Linked DNA regions of Drosophila melanogaster. The protein of the gene in region 2 interacts with the protein of the main gene of each other region in a pairwise test. Each region holds a gene or a part of one and is shown on either strand. Other genes may lie near its edges. The genes, in order: dmrt99B, FoxL1, Cdc6 and CG11771.

What was found.
Region 1: the proteins of FoxL1 (region 2) and dmrt99B interact in a two-hybrid assay, tested with the Drosophila melanogaster proteins (one large-scale study listed by BioGRID).
Region 3: the proteins of FoxL1 (region 2) and Cdc6 interact in a two-hybrid assay, tested with the Drosophila melanogaster proteins (one large-scale study listed by BioGRID).
Region 4: the proteins of FoxL1 (region 2) and CG11771 interact in a two-hybrid assay, tested with the Drosophila melanogaster proteins (one large-scale study listed by BioGRID).

Annotation. Positions count from the first base shown.
Region 1 is NT_033777.3:29,690,802-29,697,569, reverse strand, and holds dmrt99B (doublesex-Mab related 99B), read right to left. Parts: upstream 4,980-6,768; 5' UTR 4,764-4,979; coding exon 4,617-4,763; intron 4,533-4,616; coding exon 4,431-4,532; intron 4,145-4,430; coding exon 3,733-4,144; intron 2,018-3,732; coding exon 1,146-2,017; 3' UTR 545-1,145; downstream 1-544.
Region 2 is NT_037436.4:4,017,167-4,021,801, reverse strand, and holds FoxL1 (forkhead box L1), read right to left. Parts: upstream 2,925-4,635; 5' UTR 2,709-2,924; coding exon 2,338-2,708; intron 1,406-2,337; coding exon 1,150-1,405; intron 1,094-1,149; coding exon 623-1,093; 3' UTR 523-622; downstream 1-522. Other genes in the region: Mul1 (mitochondrial E3 ubiquitin protein ligase 1), read right to left, coding at 1-98, 163-267. UniProt on the Drosophila melanogaster protein: Transcription factor. Coordinates the placement and migration of various organs during embryogenesis, including the salivary glands, hemocytes, germ cells and Malpighian tubules.
Region 3 is NT_037436.4:8,630,979-8,635,987, reverse strand, and holds Cdc6 (cell division cycle 6), read left to right. Parts: upstream 1-1,918; 5' UTR 1,919-2,038; coding exon 2,039-3,608; intron 3,609-3,686; coding exon 3,687-4,105; 3' UTR 4,106-4,479; downstream 4,480-5,009. Other genes in the region: Zasp66 (Z band alternatively spliced PDZ-motif protein 66), read right to left, coding at 236-307, 907-986, 1,205-1,405.
Region 4 is NT_033777.3:24,930,334-24,935,419, forward strand, and holds CG11771 (uncharacterized protein), read left to right. Parts: upstream 1-1,676; 5' UTR 1,677-1,799; coding exon 1,800-1,903; intron 1,904-1,960; coding exon 1,961-4,049; 3' UTR 4,050-4,586; downstream 4,587-5,086. Other genes in the region: Osbp (oxysterol binding protein), read right to left, coding at 5,066-5,086.

The DNA.
Region 1 (6,768 bases), on a different chromosome or scaffold from region 2:
GTTTTCCCCGTCGATTTTCCGGGGTCTTGTGGCACTGCCCTCAAAATAGTGGCAAATAGATAATGATGATACGGATTAACGCTTCGCATTATTATTTGGCCATCGCGTGATGACCAGTTGGGAATTTTGAATTTCGAATCGTGGGTGGCCTCTATAATCGCAGTAGTTTCCTATTTGTATTTCAATTTCTTTGGGGTGCTTGTGGGCGGCCCATTGTTATCCGGTCGACTTCTCACGAATATACATTACGTGCTGTGAAAATTGTTTATTTACCCAGCTATGACCCGGACTAAGGGATTTCCGAACAATGGAAGTTTTGTATTAAATATCCTTATTTATTGATCTGATTAGTCAGGCATTTAGCGTAGGCCCAAACGATTTAATTGGAATGCATTATGCATTCATCAAAATAATTACACTATAATTGGGCTATTCAGCACATTCATCAGTACATTTGCAGACTGAAGATGTATCTTATCTATCTATCTATGCATGTAGGAAAAAAAAACACCAATATTCCCCGACAAAAAAATAGCATCGAATTAATTTCTTCATTATTTTATTGAATTATTTGTAGATTTATTAAATACTTTAACACAGTGTTTGAAATGTACTTTATCTAAGACATAATATGATGTTTAATATAATTATATATATGCTCATATTCATATGGTACACACGGATATCTCAATTAGTTGGTTGCAATCAACAATCGCTTACACAATAATCTCATCATCGTCATAATGTTAATTTCAGCTAAACAAATACTTCTTATAACTGGGATCGAGTGTATGGTTTTTCTTAAGTTTTAATTCATTAAACGTATTATTTACTTATACGGTCTCTATGTTACAATACTTGTGCTAAGAGTCGAGGGCAAATGTAATTTACACTTAGTTGCGGGACGTGCACTGCGAGAAACAGTTGCTCAAAAATCAAGAAAGTTCTTTCTGCAATGAAAAACTTCTATGGTTTCAGCTGACTGAAAATATTATAAAAACAAACGAGAGCTCTAAAACTCATTGAAGTTAAGAATTGTGTTCTTGACTCGTAAAGTGTTCACATTTTTCCGCAGTGTAGCAGGGGTGGGAACCTTATTCGAAAGGCCTGAAGACGGATGCGCCGCTGGCCTCCACCTCGATGCCTCAATCCTGGGAGTCGCCAGCATTGCTGGTGCGATCCAACCCTATGCCGCCCGCTCCGTTGGACTCGGATTGCTCGATATCCGCCGCACTGAGCACTCCCGGAAGGTAGCCGGTTCCGGCGTAGGGAGCAGTCAGGAATCGCTTGGCGTGCGCCTGCATGAAGGGATGGTAGCGATGGGTGGGGGAGCCGAAAACCGAGGGCGGCACCAGCGGGGAGAAGGCGGACTTCATGGGAAAGGGCGGCGATGGCGGCACCTGCGGCGGAGTCTGTCCCAAATCCTCGCCAGCCAGCATGCACTCCATGGCCTGGAGCACGTCGCCACGGAACCGCTGCATCAGCTGCTCCACATCGCTGCGCCGTCGGTTGGGGAACACCCTCATCAGGACGTCGATGGGCGATCTCTGCTGCTGTTGCTGCTGCTGCTGCTGTTGCTGGTGGTGCTGTGGCAGGTGGTTCTGCTGCTGCTGCTGCTGCTGTTGCTGCTGCTGGTGGTGCGGCGAGTGTGCCGCTGGGTGGTGGTGGGCGGGCAGGCCGGCGGCGGCCAGGAACTGCGTGTGGTGATATGGCAGGAAGCCCTGGGCATGACTGCTGCTGAAGGATCGCAGCAGATGAAGATTCTCGGCGGGCGTGTTGGGCGGCGACTGGCTGTCCTCCTTCTTGAGACTGAGATTCTCCGGCGTGGCCTCATCCGGCGCCGAATCCACGTCCAGATCCGATTCCGGCGAGCTGGGCGGTCCAGTGCGGGCGGGCGACAAGCTGGCGGTCAGATTGAACAGTCCGGCGACCTTGGGCCGGGGACTACTCGGCGATCCGGACTCGGAGCCCGTGTCCTGGTCGGTCTCGTTCGACAGGGCTGCTCCGCGCTTGGACACTGCAAGCAAGGAATACAATGAAGGTATATACAGATTAGTCGCCAGTTGATATGTAAATGCATTAAGAGTAGTATCTTGTAATAGTTCTCCTACGAGAGTGTGTACTTCCTATTGAGCAATTGTTTTTCCCAAAATCGCAGGTATCGATTTCCATCGACGAAGCGATTCAGGTAGCCAGTGGAAAACCGCACAGTTTCCACTTGGCAGCTTAGAGCAAATAAAAGTATCAAGTGTAGAGATGGGAAGGAATTTAATCAGGGGCATCGCAAACAAAGGCGGTGGAAGGAGCAGGGAGTTCAGGATGCGATGTTGACATGCCAACGAGGGACAACCTGCTGTTTTTTTCCACAAATGAAACAAGCTATATGATATTTTTGTGCGAGTCTGTTTAATTTTGCAGTTGACGAAGCCGCAGTAAAAATTTAATTAAGTCGAGGGTGCGTGGATACCAATACCCAACTCGAATGCCGCACTCTTTAGTCGAAAATAAAAATTCAAGCGTGAAATCGTCTTGGATTTCATGGCAAATAATAGAGTCCGGTACTTAAATAGACAGGTTTTCCCGATTGATTCGCGTGAGAATCCTGCTGTGTTTTTCTTTCTCGAGCTGGAAAAAACCACTTCCTCCGAAAGGGCAAACAAATAAAGACAAGTGAGCTGAGTCAGGGGGGGTATCTCACGTTTCTGGCCTGCCAGAACCCTTGGCATGGGGTTACCTTATGGGTAATAACCCCCATCTGCACAGCCGATAGTCCTAATAAGCAGGCGGGGTCGAAGGTCCTTTCAAATTCTCGACAGACTTGCAACTGTTTGGCGTTTAATGGGCCAGTGGTTTGAGTTGCGATGGCAGGGCAATCTGAGATGATCTGGTTGGAATTGATTGGCTTATTTCGGATAATAACAAATAATGTTGGATAATGTTACAATAACTTTTATTGTTCAGCTATTGAGAGGGTTTTTTTGTGGGAAAAAGAGTAAAATTCTAGCACACAAGTGTTTTGAGACGACCAGCATTTCAGAGTTTGCCATTTGATATTATATGATGTAATGGAACATTTTTGTCGGAAATTTCAAGTTATTTGCCTTTAAAACCTTCCCTGAAATGAGCACCACGTTAAATCAAGTGTTTTCCTCCTAACGAGGACTTTAACTCGATTGTTGCAATTTGCGCCCCTTGATGTCCTGGCCTGGCTGCAACCCCAGGACCTTTTCACGCGCCGCTTGGCAAAGTGCACGACTGCAGCTTGGCTGGCTAAGTCTTTGTCAAAACAACACCTATGCCCCGCTCACTAGCACCACTTCGCCACTTGCATACACGCAGCCAAATGCACATGCAACCGCGAGTGTGGCACTTTATGCACCGCTGATTTCTGAACAATCGAAAACAAATTTTTCTTAACGCGCTTTTAACCTGCCCTCCCCCAAGACTCTCAAGACCTCTTCTTGAGATGGCCAGGCGTGAATGGCTTCTTAAGCGGCTGCACTGCGCAAAATAAGTCAGTGTGTCCTTCGAAATGGAGTGTAATGGAAGTAATGCTATTTCATAAGCAGTAAACATTTGAAGAACTTCAAGGAAAACTGTTTTCTTGGTTTTAGAATAGATCTCAATTTATAAGATATGTGCTGTGATATTTGATGTTACTTCATTTCCCAAGTCACACAGTCACATATTCTCCCGGTGTTAGCTGTGTGCAGTATTCTTTACTTCACTCACCAGGACTCTCATCCAGCTCGGTTCTGGTGGGCGAGAAACCGACGCTGAGGTGCTCGGAACGGGTGCGTCCATCCGTGTCGGATTCATTGCCATTGAACCGCTGGGACTGCTGGTGTGGGTGGCTAAGGTGCTGTTGGTGGTGCGCCTGCTGCTGCTGCTGCGACTGCTGGTGATGATTGGGAGTGGAGCTGGCCTCGAAGCCGTCGCTGGGTGGCGAGGGAATCCCGCCGTGGAAGACGCCGTTCTGGCCCGATCCTCCGCTGCCCGAGCCGCCGCTGCCGCTGTGGTTGGGGCTGTGCGGAGTGGGCGTAGCACTGTCGCTGCCATTCTGCTGGCCAGGAACCGAAGTGTAGAGCAGGCCCAGCTCGCGGGCCTCGTTCTCTTCTTGGGCCTGTTGGCGTCGAAGGGCCACCTGCAACAAGGAGGGCATGGGCGGAAAGCGGATCTTTGATCAGTGGCGTGTAACAGGGAGATGCATTAATATTACTATGATTTTTAACTGAAGTCAACAGAGGAGTTTTGCAATTTTGAAGTAGTACTTGATTTCCATGCTATACTATAAAAAAAAACCTGCTTTTAAGCATACATAGGTTCTCTTTAACTGAACTATATAGATGAATTCAGCAATCTTCTTCATTCTATAACATTTATTCCAATTCTTTCCACGTAATTCCTTCTATATTAAAGTAGAAACCCACCTGAGCAGCCATAACCCTTTGGCGTTCCGCGATTAGAGTGCATTTGGCGCAGACGCAATCCCGCCAGCGGCAGTAGCGTTTGTGTCCCTTCAAGGCGCTGACCTGCAAAAGGTTCGAAATGGAAAGGGGATCCAGTGGGTAAAGAAAATCTCCAGATGCCGGATGGTATATGACCGAGGGACCTACCACTCCGTGGTTCCTGCAGCGGGCGCACTTGGGCGTCCTTTGGTAGCGTTCCGAGGCGGCTCGCAAGAAGAAAGCAGGTGGCAGTGCTCCCAAGACCGGATGCTGGGACATCAGATTCTGCATGTCCACACCCGACGGTAGACTCATTTCGACGTGAAGATCAGAAACCTCGATGTGGATTTAGTTGTTAGGTCAAAAACTTCTGAGCACACACTTCACTTTAGCTTATTTGATTAGTATTTAATTGTTTGTTGTTAGCTTGTAGTTTGATTGTTTTATTGTTTAACTATTTATATCCGCATAGTTCTCGAATTCAATCCACGCGCGCTAACGACATGACACAGTGAGCCCTCGATTGCAACTGATTCAACTTTTGGCCAAAAGGCCGCAGCGCACGACGCTCGACGTCGGACGTTCAGCAATGGCGGCAAGCGGCAACATTTACCAATACAAAAGCGGCTGACGAGGGTTGAAAGTGCGCGGATACGCTCGTGGGCATGTACATGCAAACTGGATATAGGGGATATATCCCCGATTCCGAGAGTGTTGCAACCACCTTTGTGCGCCGCAGCTGCCTGCGTCGGCGTCGCTGCCTGCGCCAACGGCGACGCCGGCTGCGACGGCGGAGGGTTGGCAATTAAGAAAAAAGTTTCAAATCTAATTTGGTACTGTATACAAAATTGTGCACTCGAGGCGGCGACGCGGCGTATGAGTAATGTGGCGGGAGAGCACTCCGCACTGGTTGGTTCTCAAAGGGAATTGCCATGGTAGTGGTGGTGGTGGTGGTGGTGGTGGTGCTTCGGTGGTGTGGTGCTGTTCTGGTGGTTGTTTGGGGTTTCTTTCATTTTCTTTGTTGCCTTTGTTTCACAATTATTTTTTATGCCGCTCTTCAGCTGCTCAACTGCTCAGCGGCTTGCTGTGTGCGTGAGCGCTTGGGGCTCTCGGCTTTTGGGCTAATGGAATAGCCAACCAAAAGCGTTGTTGTTGCGACCTCGCCGCTGGTTGGCATGGCCAACACACACACACACACATACAAACACACTCAACTGACACAGTTGGCAGCGCAGTTGTTGCTTTTCGAGGGGTTTTGGGGGGATATCTAAAATTCCCAGGCCCCTGTTTTTGAAAAACTAAAGTTTCTACCTTAGGTTGTGGCACATCGCCACTTGCTTTTCATTTCCAGCTGCCGCTGTTCAAATGTCTCAAGTGTTGAAATCTCCATGAACAAAATTGACAAACAGAGGCATAATAATTACTTATTTACAGCTGCATAAAAGTATAGACATGAGATGATATGTTAAACAAGAAACAAACCATAAAGATAGGTATTTAACAGAAAATCATAACGTATATTAACTTTTATAGCGTTTAAAAGGATATACAATGTGATATCAATTTGCTACTTTAATCTATTTAAAAGAACAAAACCCATTTTACATAAAGAGTCCTTTACATAATGTGCCGCATATCCCGCTGCGTCGGAATGAGAGTTTTCGTTAGGTAATTTTTAACTTTTTTTTGGCCAGTGGGTTGGGTCTATTGGCCTATTGGAATGTTACAAAATAATTGCAATTGAAACAAACTGAGCACTCGTGCTGAGCGAGCGAGACAGCCGCGTCTGCGAAAGAGGCAGCTGCGCGCGCCTCTCTCTCTCTCTCTCTGACGTTCTTCGTTTCTCCGAGAGATGTTCGCTCTCTCGCGCGGAGACTCCGCCCACGAAAAGAGGAGGAGCCATAGGACTCACGCACACGCTGTAGAAATAGAAGAACATAAAGCGGCAACAATGTTGTACAAGTTGACCAAAAGAAACAAGTTTCCAGTCTGTCTGTGTCGGTGTTTGCGCGCGTGTGCTTGTGTGCGAGTTGCCTAAGGACCTCTACACACACACACACGCACACACACACTGGGAAATAGGGGGCAGTTCCAGTTCCGCTGGCATCGTCTTTTTGGGCAGGTCACAGTTGTTGGCAACAGTAAATGGCCAGAAGCTGCTGCTGCTGCTGTTACCGTGGAGCTACTGGTGTTTTGCGCAGGGCCAATTTCTCGCATTTTAACTTTGTTTAAAGTGCGCCTATGTACACACACTCACATCTACACACAAACACACGCAGGCTGCTGCCCTGGGTGGCCACTTATAAAGTGTTTTTACTGC
Region 2 (4,635 bases):
GTCACTGTGCCCCGGATTACCGCATATGGTATCTTCTTGTCGCGCTGCCGCTCCACCACCGATTTTAGGTCTCCATCGATGTTGTATTGTGGTGCCGCCTGAAAAGCAGCAGTTCACTCAATAAACGCCACTTATTACGTGCATTAGTATTTCTATACGCACCTTCAGCACCTTGGCAGTTCGCTTGTAGTGCACGTACTCGCGCGCACACAGGCCAAGTATTAGCAGATCCACGCCCAGTGCAACGGATTCGTGTAAAAATTCCATTTTGTGTTATGCTATTTTATTTATATTACGCTACAAAAACATATGTTTACTCAGTGTTGCTGTGTTTCCCGCTGCTCGTAACGGCTACAAATACTAAATATTCACCCTGTTGAATGGAACTAGTTCAACGTATTAGTATATGCCATAGAGTGCAGGGTCACTCTAAAATACTACTTTCATATTTGAAATTTACCGCCAAAAAGAAGTTAGCTTAATTCAATTCAATTCTCAATTTGCAATTAGAAAACGGCCAATGCAAACCAATCTATATTTTAAAACTCCATCACTTTTATGTATTTTATGCAAGAATATTTATCACTAAATTAAGATAATTAAGCCAAAAGAGGTGCATTGCTTATGGCTTGCCAATGATATTGTCGATGGTAAACAGCGTGGTCTTTGATCGGTTGCTGCTGGCCACTGGACTGCTCCCAGGTGCATCCACCACATCCTTGATGCCATTAAAAGCTTCGGCAAGGACAGGTGCACCCGATGACGAGGTTTCCCGTCGATTGAGAGGAGGAGTAAAGGCGCTCGGCGAATGTAGCTCCTCGTGCAGTTCCATGGAACTTTGCATTGCTTTGCTGGAACTGGACGAGGCGTCCACATCGTCTGGGCATTCCCTGATCTCGGGCAGTGGTCGGAGTCCGCGGGCCTCGTTGTTGAACAGACTGTTGAAGCCCAGGGATACGGACAAGTACTGCCTGTGCAGATCCGTAATCCTGTCGGAGTAATTGGGCCGCTCGTTGCAGAAGATATCGAAGTCACTCAGCGGTTCGCTGGGCGAGCGAATCTCTGCTGCACTACTGTTGCCATCATTTGAATCCTGCAGATAAATTCATTTATTCGATTTGTTTATGAGTTTTTAGATGTGCATTATACCTTTCCCGATTCCCTCTCGTAGCGATTTGGATGGCCACAGTGCCTCTGCCTGCGCGTTCTCCTCCGGCGGTAGTTTCCCTGTTCGAACATGTCCGATGCCGATGAGTCCAGCATCCAGTAGCTTCCCTTCCCAGCACTGTCGTTATCCTCGATTGTGTTCTTGTCCCGCGGAATCTTCACGAAGCAGTCGTTGAGGGACAGATTGTGGCGAATGGAGTTCTGCCAGCCCTGCTTGTTCTCCCTGTAATATGGGAATCTAAAAAATAATTGGATATTATCCAATTAATTAATTAATTAGGAGCTATATTTCCTTGACATTTTTATCAAATTTTGAAAGGGTAAACATATATACTTTATTTTCAATAAATTAACAATGGAAAAGATATTTTATAAATATAAATCGAATGCGTGTTTATCAAAACTATTTACTTCAGAATTTCACAGCTTTGAATATCTGAATTTGTATATATAAAAATCATTTTACAATCTGAAAAACTTGCTGTTGATACACATCTTATTAGCCCATATCTATATCCTCCGCTGGTTTGTTTAAATCAAGCGATTTGAAAAAGCAATAAAAATAATATTTGTTTATGTTGATAAAGAAATCGGAAATATTTAGTTTACAAACACATTGTTCATTTTCCTGTTTTTCAAATTACTTGCGATCTATTTTATATATCTGGCCGCCATTTTTTATGCACTCTGTTCATTCAGGAAAGGAAATATATACATATATATTTTAATATTTGTTAAAGATATGACTAATAAATTTAAGCCAATAAATGAAACCATTTCATATGGATAATTACCAAGTAATCTGCGTGATATTTATATATTTTCACATTAAGAAATTGGATTAATGCTCCATATTTCACCGACTTAATCCCAGTTGTGGCAAAAGTTTCGTGATAAAAACTTCTTCTCGGGATAAAAACTTCTTTGGTTTGTACAGATACTTGGAATGTGGCGGTTGTTTATTTTGGCATTTGATTTAGCCAAGAATGTCATCTAAATTTTCCTCGATTTAAGACAAGGCGGAACATTTATTTTTGTAGGATTGTAAAAACAAGAGCTTTAGTAGAATATATGTACAGAAATTGGAAATTTTATTTGCTGATTTACAAACTAAATTCACTTATTGATCTATCAAAGATCTCGTATTTTTGTATTGTTCAATTAACTTACTTATCCATGATAAACTTGTAGATTCCACTGAGGGTCAGTCGCTGGTTGGGTGCACTGCTGATGGCCATGGCGATGAGGGCAATGTAGGAGAAAGGAGGCTTTTCCGGTCGATGGGAGTTGTGCAGAAAGGATATAGGCAATCCCCAGATGTTGTTGTGCAGGGCCAGAAAGCTATCGATGCCCTGGTAGTAGAAGGCCGGTGAAAACGATCCGCACATCAGACCCTCCATGCCCGCACCTCCGACGGCACTTGGAGCCAGCGGATTGGGTGACACCTGGGTCCTGAGATAATCCGGATTCGCTAGCATGGAGTTGACCAGCTCCTCATTATCCGGCAGCATCGATCCATTGGCATAGCAAGAGGGTAACATTTTTCAAAACGAAATCCCAGTAACTTGATTCAAAGTTCTTTTATACTCTTTATGTATCTTTCGGGAACTTTGTTTCGAATATCACTTCACATTAACTTGTTAGATATTTAGGATTTTTGTCCTGTTTTCCGGTTAGCTGTTACTTCCGATTTTGTGGGCGATTCGAGCGCGACTGTGGACCATGTGTTGCGTCAGCCAAGAAGTCCGATCGACTAATGAATGAACTCGGATACGCAGATCACTTGTAATGCCTCATCCCAATCTTATGGGTGTGTGTTTTTGGGGGAGAGCAGCGCATTGGTCTATAAATATAGGGATATGCAAACACCCTCACCAAAAGATCCACACATGCGTAAGTTCTCAGAGAGGGGAAAACAATTTTCCTTGAAAAATTTAAATTTTATTAAGGAAGAAATTGAATAAATTGAAATATGAAATAAGTATAATATATTTGAGATTATTATGTTATAATATAATAAGATGATGTTGTTAATATTTAAGTGTATTCAGTTATTAACTTTGTAGTACTAGATTTAGATTGATTATATCATTACTAATTAATATCCTTGCTTATACTATATCTTTTTCGCATATACCCGTTATATGGCAGATCTCTCTTTTGAGGGGGCGTTCCTACAAATATGTTCTCTACTCTTTCCATGTTTATTTATGTCCATTCTCATTTGCCTGTATTTTCCTCGATGGGCGGAGTCAAGACCTTTTCCCCATGTGTGAGTGAGTGTGGGAGAGTCCCAGTGTGTTTTGAATAATATGTAGATTTTGATTTTTCAACAAATGAAAATCGAGCAAAGTTTACACTTGAATTACGGGCACTTGAAAGGGAATTTTTAAATCTTTGGAAATAATGTAAAGCTTCTAGGATCTCATGCGTACATCGTTAGTCCCAGTTATTAAAAAAGATTATACTGCAGTATTATGATAGGTTACATATGTATGTATGTAATCATTGCGTGAGTTAGTCACTAATTTAGCCTTTTTCTGGCTTGAAAAAGTTCATTTAGATGTTTAATCATTTTATAACTTTCAAATCTCTTGATAGCACTCACTAAAGAGCTTTGATAACTCGTCAGTTCAATTGGTTTGTAAACATTATTTAAATAAAGCGATTCCAAGAAGCACTCCGTTTATACATTCCACCGGATAGCAGCTGGCAAGATAATGCCAGAAGTCGGCATTATCTGGTCCCTTGACATCCCATGCTATCTCGTGGCAGTTGCCTTCCGATTTTTACGACTTTTCCGAGCGAACGAAGGAAAGCGAGAGTAAACTCGCGGCAGTCAAGTACGCAATTTTCCGAATGCAACCGAAAGTCTTGGTCTATATCTTAAAAGGTCGTAAAACAATTGTGTATACATTTCAAACAGGACTACGCTCGATTTTTACGATCGTTCCGTTCTCAAGTAGAAAGCAGAGATCATTTGAAAGAAATAAAAACATTGAACGCAAATCGAAGAACTGAAAATCCAAAATGCCCGAAGCAATTGAAGTTCACATGTGTGGATGATGCCAATGCCACAAAGGATTCTTCACGCTCTCTCCCGATTTATTCAAATTTTACGATCGCTTACCGCTGGTGAGAATGGGTCATAAAACAATGGGTTATCCTATGGCCCATGGTCCTCCGATTCTCTCGAAGATGTCGCTGCCCTGCGTGTTTAGCTTGCTTATTTTTAGACCTATGCTGGGAATAGTATTGGAAACAAATATTGTTTTTTATGGCCCAGCTCGGTTTGGTCTGATTTCGTCTTCGAACACCGATCGATGTTTTTCGTTGTGAAACTATGTTTTCCTATGCATTTCACCGCATCTTTTTTGACATATCCCTCGCACTAAGCCATAAAACGCCTCGGATCCTGTTTATTTAGTCGCAGCGCAGCTCCCCAACCGCAACTTAATCGCTGTGTGT
Region 3 (5,009 bases), 4.6 Mb from region 2:
TTCAGGTTGCGGGAGACAACAATAATCGAGGGTTAGTCTGTACAGACAGGCAGGGGAAAACACGGGAAACTTGGCAAACATTCCTCATATTCAATTTAATTTGTCTCAAGGCAAGTTCAGGTACAATTCCACGTTCTTGCTCATTGTGCTTTCCATATCAAAGTGAAAGTGAAAGTGAAAGGATTCAATCAAAGAACGAAATCAGGCTGTGCTCAAGATATGAATTTACTTTTACCCGTTAAGTTTTGTTGGCAAAGGACGATGCAAAGGACTGTCCTTCAAGCGATTGCTTTCGCTTGTGGCGAAGCTACAACAATATACATAGAATATATATAGGATATATAGAGAGTGGTATATTTATATATGTAAATGTATATAAATGCATGTAAAACAGAGATCCGGCAGTAGGCAGTAGTAAGTAGTACGTACAACATCTATGGACTGGTTTTCGTGTTCAATCGTATGTTCGAATTGTGTGTGTTTCTCATTTCGTGTGTGCATCGGTTTAGTAAATTTCGTTTCGACTTTGATTTTGTGGCTTTTGGGTTAGTGGATTATGGCCGCAGCTTAACCAGGAACCAATTTTTCGGGTTATGTGGACCTTAGGCTACTCGTAACCGTGTGTTCGTGACTCGTTTTATTAGTTTTCAAGCTACTTGGCGCATTTCGAGTGGCTCTCTCTGTCTCTCTGGCAAAAAGAAAAGCTGCATCAAAAATTTCGAAGAACTCTACGCAGGTTTATTCGTAAATTGCAAAATCCAAAGAATATGTAGCGTAATTCATAGGCTTATAAGTTCAATTTGACAAGCGAATTCCAAAAGTTCATATATTAGTGTTTTTTTTTTTTCATTGTATCGAGCTAAGCATAGGAGTTTCCAGATGGTACATTTCTGGGTGACAACTTACGGAACTGTGGATCTGATGGTGTCCTCGATGTTGTTGTTGGAGTACAGGCCAATGGGCGAGTTGAATTGCTTGTGGAAGACCTAAAATCGGGGGATATATGTACACAAATGTAAGTAAAACCCATTACAACTTACACTTAAATTAAATACAATCAATTTCGTAACAGGATTAGAACAAAGACTACAGGTCACGAATTCGAAATGTTAACATTGAAAATATCAATTTTAAATGTAGAAAACTCTAGTTTTTGTAATTTTCCATTATGTGGGTGTGACTTTAAGAAGTCCCCTGTACTTACGCGGCCAGTGTCGGCTTCCGAACCGACCACCTTGTGCAGCATGGTGTCGGCCACGCGCTGCTTCATGATACTGTCATGGTAGTCGTGTCCTGGGTGGGCGCGCACAGCCGGGTTGGGGTAGTGCCTCAAGTAGGACTCTGTCGTGGGCGCATCCTTCTTCACTTTGGCGCCGGGCAGGACCAGCGGAGTTGTACGGTAGGGCTGGAAAGCGGATCGGTGAAGATTAACGACTTTGTTTACGCCGAAATGGGGCACACATTTGGCCGACCAGCCGTTGCGGCAAATGATAATATAAATAAATCAGACAGAGATTAAAAGAGTTTCTAGAAATCACCAGATCTTTGCCCACTGTGCTACGTATTTCTCCTTCGAGCGTGTGTGTGCATAATTTTTTTCGCTATATCTAAATTCCATTTTATGTGCGCCCGTTTATATACTTTAAAAATATCCCATAGCCAGGGGAAATATTTTTAGGCGCTTACGTAAGCGTGTTCAACGTCCAGCGATTTGTGTTTTCTATCTGCCGCGGACCATTTTATTTTTACCAGGCCGTCCACACGCGAGTATGTAAGTAATTCAATATAGGCGGACTGCTGTTTGAAATGTTGTAACTATGCGCGCCTAATCGATAGGCGATCGACAATAGGCAGCTCTGGGCTAGAGCTGCCAGATGACCAGACCAGGCTTGATCAGCTGTTGCTCGTGGCGAATGGCAAACTCAATTTGCGCGCTTTTTTAACTGTGACTGCCAGCTGAAAATTGTAACGCACGCTGTGGCTTATTTAACTCGTATTTAATAGTAACTAACTGCTGATCAATAAACTAAGCTAAAGAATGGCTGCCGTACGCCGCTCCACGCGCCTTAGTAGCATCAGCAAAGCGACCGCCGCCTCTCCGCTGCCGCCGTCGACGCAGACGCCGCGTCGCTCGGAAGTTTGGAAACGCAGGCAGCCGAAAAAAGTGCTTGCCGATAGCGACGAGGAGGAGGAGGTGGTGACGGCGATCTATGACCTGACCAGCCCCGTTTCAGAGAACAACGAGAACCGCAACGTGCTCAACAAAATGGACAAGATCTCCAGGCGCAGGACATCGCAAGTGCAGGTGGCTCAATCGGAGCTGCCAAAGACGCCACGCAGCACAAAGAAAACAGTCCAATCAGCTGGCAGTTCACGGGCCAAACGTGAGGAGGAAAACCGTGAGGCCACCGCTAGATTCTTGGAGGGCGAACAGGATTCGGAGGTGGACCCGCTTCATGGATCGCCGCCGAAGCAGAGGAAGTTGCAGCCACTGCCACAGCACCTGATCAGTCCTTCGCGGCTGCTGGACAGACTCAGCATCGACGAGCGCCAGGAGGAAGAGGTGGAGGCGACCACACACAAGACTGAAACGGCTGAGCAGCAGCCGAAACATCAAGCCAAGGACGAGGCAAAGCCTCGGCCAAAACAGCAGGAGGATCCATTAGCGCAAAAGCAGCAGGAGAAACCTCCAACAAAGCAGCCGAATAAAAACCAAACTAAAGAAAAAAGCAATATCCAAACCAATGAGGAAACCCAACAGAATAACCTGCCATCTCCCTCACGCAACAAATACCAAAACGCCAGACGAGTGCTCAACAGCGCCGAGACACAAAACTTGCCAGGACGTGAGTCCCAGCTCCAAGAGCTACGTGAATTCTTCAGCAATCACCTGGAAAGCCAGACTTCCGGCAGCCTCTATGTCTCCGGTCAGCCAGGAACAGGCAAGACCGCCTGCCTATCGCTACTGCTGAGAGATCCCGACTTCTCCAAGCGTCTGCAACGTGTGTACATTAACTGCACCAGCATAGCAAGTGTAGGAGCAGTTTACAAGAAACTATGCACCGAACTGCAGCTCAAAGTCAGCGGTCGCACAGAGAGAGATCACTTGGAGGCCATTCAGCGTCACCTAAAGACAGCAAAGCGAATGCTTCTGCTGGTGCTGGACGAGATTGATCAGCTCTGCACCAGCAGGCAGGAGGTGTTGTACACGATCTTCGAGTGGCCAGCTCTTCCCGGCTCCAGGATACTGCTCGTGGGCATTGCCAATAGTTTGGATCTCACAGATCGTGCGCTGATGCGACTGAATGCAAGGTGCGAGCTGAAGCCCAGACTGATGCACTTCCCGCCCTACTCCAAGCAGCAGATCGTGGAGATATTCAAGTCGCGTCTGGCTGAGGCGGAAGTGCTGGACGTCTTTCCACCCGTGACCCTGCAGCTGCTGGCCGCCAAGGTGAGTGCGATCAGTGGAGATGTGCGAAGGGCCCTGGACATTGGACGACGAGTGGTCGAGATAGCAGAGCAGCAGAAGCGCGATGGCGAAAAGGAGTTCAATATGAAGGCCCTGCAGCTGGAGGGCAAGGATGCGGTGGAGGCCAAGGAAAAGCAAGGTAAACCTTCGTTTCTTTAGTATATAAAGATAAATTTATAGAATGTGTTAAAAAGAAATCCTATCTTGACTATTTCAGACACTCTAAAGCCTGTTCAGGTCACCCAAGTGGCTGCAGTGCTGAACAAGGTCTACGGTGCCTCACAGAATCTGGAGGAGGACATCGAGGCATCATTTCCGCTGCAGCAAAAGCTAATGCTGTGCACCCTGGTGCTGATGCTGCGCAACGAGCGCAACAAAGACATCAGTATGGGTCGCCTGCACGAGGTCTACAGGAGAGTGTGCGCCAAACGCAACATCCTGGCCCTGGACCAAGCGGAGTTCACTGGGACTGTGGATCTGGTCGAGACCCGAGGCATTCTGCGAATCATGCGCAAAAAGGAGCCGCGCCTGCACAAGGTTCTGCTGCAGTGGGACGAGGAGGAGGTGCATGCGGCACTGAGCGACAAGCAGCTGATCGCCTCGATCCTCAGCGATACCGCCTGCCTGAGCAAGTGACGATCTGGACGATTACCTCTAGGAAATGAGTGTGCCCGACAAACCGCTGGTTAATTGCGCATTTTTCTCATTTTCATTCACCTTGGGGACGAACGTATATGTATAGGAATACTTTTTGACGCTAATTTTAAAATTCGTGGCTGGCGCAAGCACTGAAATATTTTGAAATATCATTTGACGGTCACTTTCGACATTTTCTGCTATTTTCTGACTATTAATTGAATCGATTCTTTTAGACTTTGTGTGTGTCATAAATCTAAGTAAATGTTGCGCCCATAATCTATTTCTAATCCGATCCGTTGACCAATAAGTTATAGAGAATCCCCTTCCTGTTAGCCCTAAGCAAATAAGAATAAACTAGATAGTTCCGCAATACATAAAACGCAAAAGTGAAAACGTTTTCCACTTTCGCTGCGCCGCAAGTTTGAATCTTGGGTCGTGCCAAAAGTTGTGAAAATCTTAGGGAAAGTCTGTTGCCATTGTTTTCTGAGGCGTTTTCAGAACATACCAGTCAAATTAACACCAGTGCTTCTGAATTTGTGTGGGCTTTTGTTGGCCATCTCGACATGAAATTAATTTGTTCTATAATCATTTTGTTTATTTATTTGCTGGCTTATTGTTGTTCTTCCTGCGCTCTCTGCTCTAAAAATATCCCCATTTGAGTGGTATGAATTACATTGAGCACCACCGACACAACCAGAGCGCAATGAAAAATATGTTTCAAAAACTCTGGTTGCCTTTCGACGCGTATTGACGAAAGGCGAACAAATGTTTGAATAATAAGCTATATGCAGAGAGGCCAGCTAGATATATGCATGAATGTATCTATAGGTATATGGCGTTCTATATTCCTATTCCTCAAAAATACATATATTTCTGAGGGAGCAGTAAGGCGAAAAACCTC
Region 4 (5,086 bases), on a different chromosome or scaffold from region 2:
TTCTCCCTCCTTTAATAGCAGCCAATCTAGATCCTCAAGAACCCTTTGAATTCCGACCATGTGAACTAGCAAAGGTTATCAAAGAGCAACTGAACCCAAGAAAATCGCCTGGCTACGACCTAATAACTCCAAGAATGCTCATTGAACTCCCAAAGTGTGCTATTCTTCACATCTGCCTGTTGTTCAACGCAATCGCCAAGCTTGGATACTTCCCTCAAAAATGGAAAAAGTCGACCATAGTAATGATTCCAAAGCCAGGAAAAGATAAAACGCAGCCATCATCATATAGACCGATAAGCTTACTAACATGTCTTTCAAAGCTGTTTGAAAAAATGCTACTCCTTCGGATTAGCCCTCATCTTAGAATAAACAACACACTTCCAACACATCAATTTGGCTTTAGAGAAAAACATGGAACCATCGAACAGGTCAACCGAATCACGTCAGAAATTCGTACTGCTTTTGAACATCGAGAATACTGCACAGCCATTTTTCTAGACGTCGCGCAGGCATTTGACAGAGTGTGGCTCGATGGACTTTTGTTTAAAATAATCAAGCTGTTGCCCCAAAACACACATAAGCTACTGAAGTCATACCTATATAACAGAGTGTTTGCAATAAGATGCGATACAAGCACTTCACGCGATTGCGCAATCGAAGCTGGAGTGCCGCAAGGCAGTGTACTGGGTCCAATCTTATACACCCTGTATACGGCGGATTTCCCCATAGACTACAATCTAACAACCTCCACGTTCGCTGATGATACCGCGATACTCAGTCGCTCGAAATGCCCAATAAAAGCCACGGCACTCCTATCCCGACACTTAACATCTGTAGAACGATGGCTTGCCGACTGGAGAATTTCAATAAATGTTCAAAAATGCAAGCAGGTTACCTTTACCTTAAACAAACAAACATGCCCACCACTGGTCTTGAATAACATATGCATTCCACAAGCCGACGAGGTAACATATCTGGGAGTTCATCTGGACAGGCGGCTCACTTGGCGCAAACATATAGAAGCCAAATCGAAACATCTTAAACTTAAAGCAAGGAACCTCCACTGGCTCATAAATGCTCGCTCTCCACTTAGTCTGGAGTTCAAAGCTCTTCTATACAACTCCGTCTTAAAACCTATCTGGACTTATGGCTCCGAGCTGTGGGGCAACGCATCCAGAAGTAACATAGACATTATTCAGCGAGCACAGTCAAGAATTCTGAGAATTATCACTGGAGCGCCGTGGTACCTTCGGAACGAAAACATACACAGAGACCTAAAAATCAAATTAGTAATCGAAGTAATAGCTGAGAAAAAAACGAAGTATAACGAAAAGCTGACCACCCATACAAATCCCCTCGCAAGAAAACTAATCCGAGTATGCAGTCAAAGCCGGCTGCACCGCAACGACCTCCCAGCCCAGCAATAAACTTATTAGGGCATTAATGAAAAAAAAAAAACTATCACTAAGTGAAAGTTAATTAAGTTAGATTAAGATTTGAACACTTATTGTTAGTCTCTTAACACAAAGGGAAGATTCAATAAATAATAAAAATTAAAAAAAAAAAAAAAAAAAAAAAGAGAAGTCACAGATTAGGATAGATTGGATTCAGTGACTGCAGTAAAGTGTGATTTTCGCATCACTGCCGGCTCCACCGCTGATGGTGGCAACCCTGGCCGCTGTCACTTGCTTTTTGGTCCAGGCGTGTTGTGTAAACGCTGGCCCCCATTTCAGAATCCCAAATTCCGGCGCAAACTGTCCGGAATTGTACATATCTGGATTAACGACTTCACCTAGGACATGCTAAATCTCCTACGAAGGCGCCCAACGTCGGTGCCCCTCATCCGGGCCGCGCTTAGCGCTCCGCTGCACTCAACGGAAAACCGGCCGGGTTACATAGTGCTGTAAGTACGAAAATTACCCGGATTCAACATGTGGAGTCACTAAACCTATCCCCGCAGGGTACCGGAGATCGGTGAGGAGGGACCGCTAGGCGAGGGCGTGCTCAAGCCGGACGGACTTCCCGCCTTCAGTGACATCACCATCGAGATGTGCTTGGGCGCCATTGGTCAGCAGGCATCGGCGGTGGAGAACTCGGTGAAGGCGCTGGAGAGCGACCTGCACAGTGGCAAGCAGCTAAATGCCGCCAGCATCTTTCGGGAGCTGGACACCGTGACGGGTCCACTGGAGACGACATGGGGTGTGGCCAAGGCTCTGTACCTGGGCAATTCTACCCTGATACCCACCAAATCCTACATGAACATCCACGAACGAGCGCGTAACGCTCGGGCAGCGAAGTTCTGCAATCAAACGGTGTATAAGGCACTCAAGGATGCTTCGTCCGATTCGGGTCCAGATGAGCAGAGGATGCGACAGAAGTTCCTGCTCGAGGGCAAGCTGAACGGGCTCACGCTGGACAAAGATAAGCAGGATGGACTGAAAGAGCTGCTTACCCATTTGGGTCGAGAGAGAGCCAACTTCAAGAACAAGGTCAACATGGCAGTGCACTCGTTTGGACAGATTATTACGGACTTCAATCTTGTAAGAGATTTCCCGCCTTCGCTTCTTGAGGCAACAGCCCGCGATCCCGGACAACCTATGACGGGTCCTTGGAAGATAACCCTACAGCCTCAAGTGGTCGATGGTTTTCTAAAGCACTGCCCAGAGCGAATGCAGCGTTGGAACGTCTGGAGGGCCAGTGTGCTGAAGGCATCCTCGCAGCAGGAAAAATCCCTGGAGAACAGCACACACATCGAAAAAATACGCGGTTTGCGCAAGCGACAGGCAAATCTGTTGGGCTATGAAAGCTTTGCAGACATGTCCATGCAGACCAAAATGGTGGGCAGTGTGGACAACCTTAAGCAGATCTTTGCCAAGCTTCTCAAGTTCGCCGGCCCTGCTCAAAGTGTGGAGCTGGAGAAACTACAGGGCTTCGCTCAGGACAGTGGCTGTGAATACAAGCTGGAAGCCTACGACGTTGCCTACTGGCGGCGCAAGCAACTGGCGGCGGAGCACGGTCTCCAAGATCAGAAGCTCCGCGAGTTTTTCCCACTGCCCCGCGTTCTTTCCGGCTTGTTTGCGCTGAGTGAAAAGCTCTTCGGCATCAAAATAGTTGAGCAGCCCAATGCGGAGGTGTGGCATCCGGCAGTTAAGTTCTACGATGTGTTCGATGCTGATTCCGTCAATAGCTCCACCCCGGTGGGTGGCTTTTATGTGGACTGCTATTCCAAGGAGCACAAGTTCGGCAGAAACAATGGTTGGATGGTGGGCATACGGAACAGCAATAAGTCTGCCGGGCTGACGCCTCTCTGTGCGCTGATATTTAACTTTTCGGAGCCACAAAGTCCGGATGCCAAGCCCCCGCTTCTTGGATACGATGATCTGCAGATGCTCTTCAAGACTTTTGGAAGCGGACTCCAACACCTGCTCACCCAAGCGGGGTACAGCGATTTGGCGGGACTCTCAAACATCGAGTGGGATGCCTCTCAAGTGTCCGGTCATGTGATGAGCAACTTCCTCGACGATCCCACAGTGATTCGAAGCCTATCCGGACACTTTAGCAGCGGTGAGCCCTTGGAGGCTGAGCTTTCACAGAAGATGCGATTGCTGAAGACTCAGTTGGCTGGCTATAATCTGTGCCAGGACCTCTACCTGGCGGATCTCGACGTGGAGCTGCACCGCTCGAATGCCTTCTGGCTGGAGGTGGTTCGCAAGCTGTGGCCGGTTTATCAATGCATGCCGCTGGACAAGAAGGACGCACATCCGTGCTCCCTGACCGACATTTTTGCCGGAGATTGGGCGGCCGCCCAGTTCAGTCACTTGTATTCCCGCCTCATAGCCGCCGACATTTCGAGCAGCTTTGCTGAGCAGCGAAGCGAAGAGAACTACGCGGTCGTTGGCCGGCGCTACAAGCAGACCTTCCTCAGCTGCGGCGGATCTGTGCCCACGGCGGAAGTGTTCCGTCGCTTCCAGGGTCGCGACCCGTCGGCCGAGGCACTTCTAAAGTCGCTGGACATATTTGAACCCTCCCAGACCACAGATAACAACTGAGGGTCGCCCTCTGTTCCGCTAAAACGTTATCTATTGTGTGTAGTCAACAAATGCTGATCGATGGCAGCCTGTGGAGGCCCGACGAGTGGCAACCTTATAGGAAAGTAAGCATTGGAGTATTGGAAAATATTTTAAAATAGTTTTGAAATGTATTCTGTTAAATATTTGTTTATTGGTCAAGATCCCACTTGTACTTATTTAAAAGAAAGTATAGCCGTAATTGAATGACCCCAGCCAGGAAACTGAAAACCAAAAACGATTGATAAGGGCTTTATAAATTTTGGAAGTGTAACTATTAAAACAAGAATTCTATACTTTACGCCTCCACGATTTATTAGTCGGCAATTCGATCTACACCCTAATTGGCAGCCGGATGTGATAGCGATCGCGTGAGTCAGGCGGGATCTTATCGCAGGTGTGCAGGTGGTGTCGCCAGGCGACATCGTCAGTTACCCCAGTTGAACACACATACACACACACGTTGTTGCTTTATTTAAATAATACTTTAATAATAAATTGCATAAATTTATAACATTTAACATATTCTCTCGCTTCTTGCTCGGTTCTCTCGATTCGGTTCGATATATTTATATACACAACAAAGGCGAAGTATGCATTCAGCGGAAAGGAAAAAGACATCTAGGGGTTTGGATGGAAACCGAGGATTAAGAGCTATCATCTGTCTTGGCCTTCTGTTGGAAAGCCACTAGAAATGGTTAACCGGTAGTCAGGAAGAAATAATCAAAGTACATTTCGACGCAGGGGTATGGATTAAACTTGGTTAGTTTACAGGAATTAATTTATATATATATATATATATAAATATGCTCTAGATCAAAGTGTGGTACTACAATATGCGTATGTGCTGCTCCGAAATCAGTCGGAGCGTGTCCCGCTGTGGTGTGTTAGTTGTGTGTGGAGGCTGGATATCTGAAAACTTTAGAATATTCGCTAAGGCTGCTATGTGTGGTAGTGGCTGCAGTTGCTCCCTTGGCTGCTCCGTTGGCTACTGCTGTCTAGTATATGTCCGGACAGCC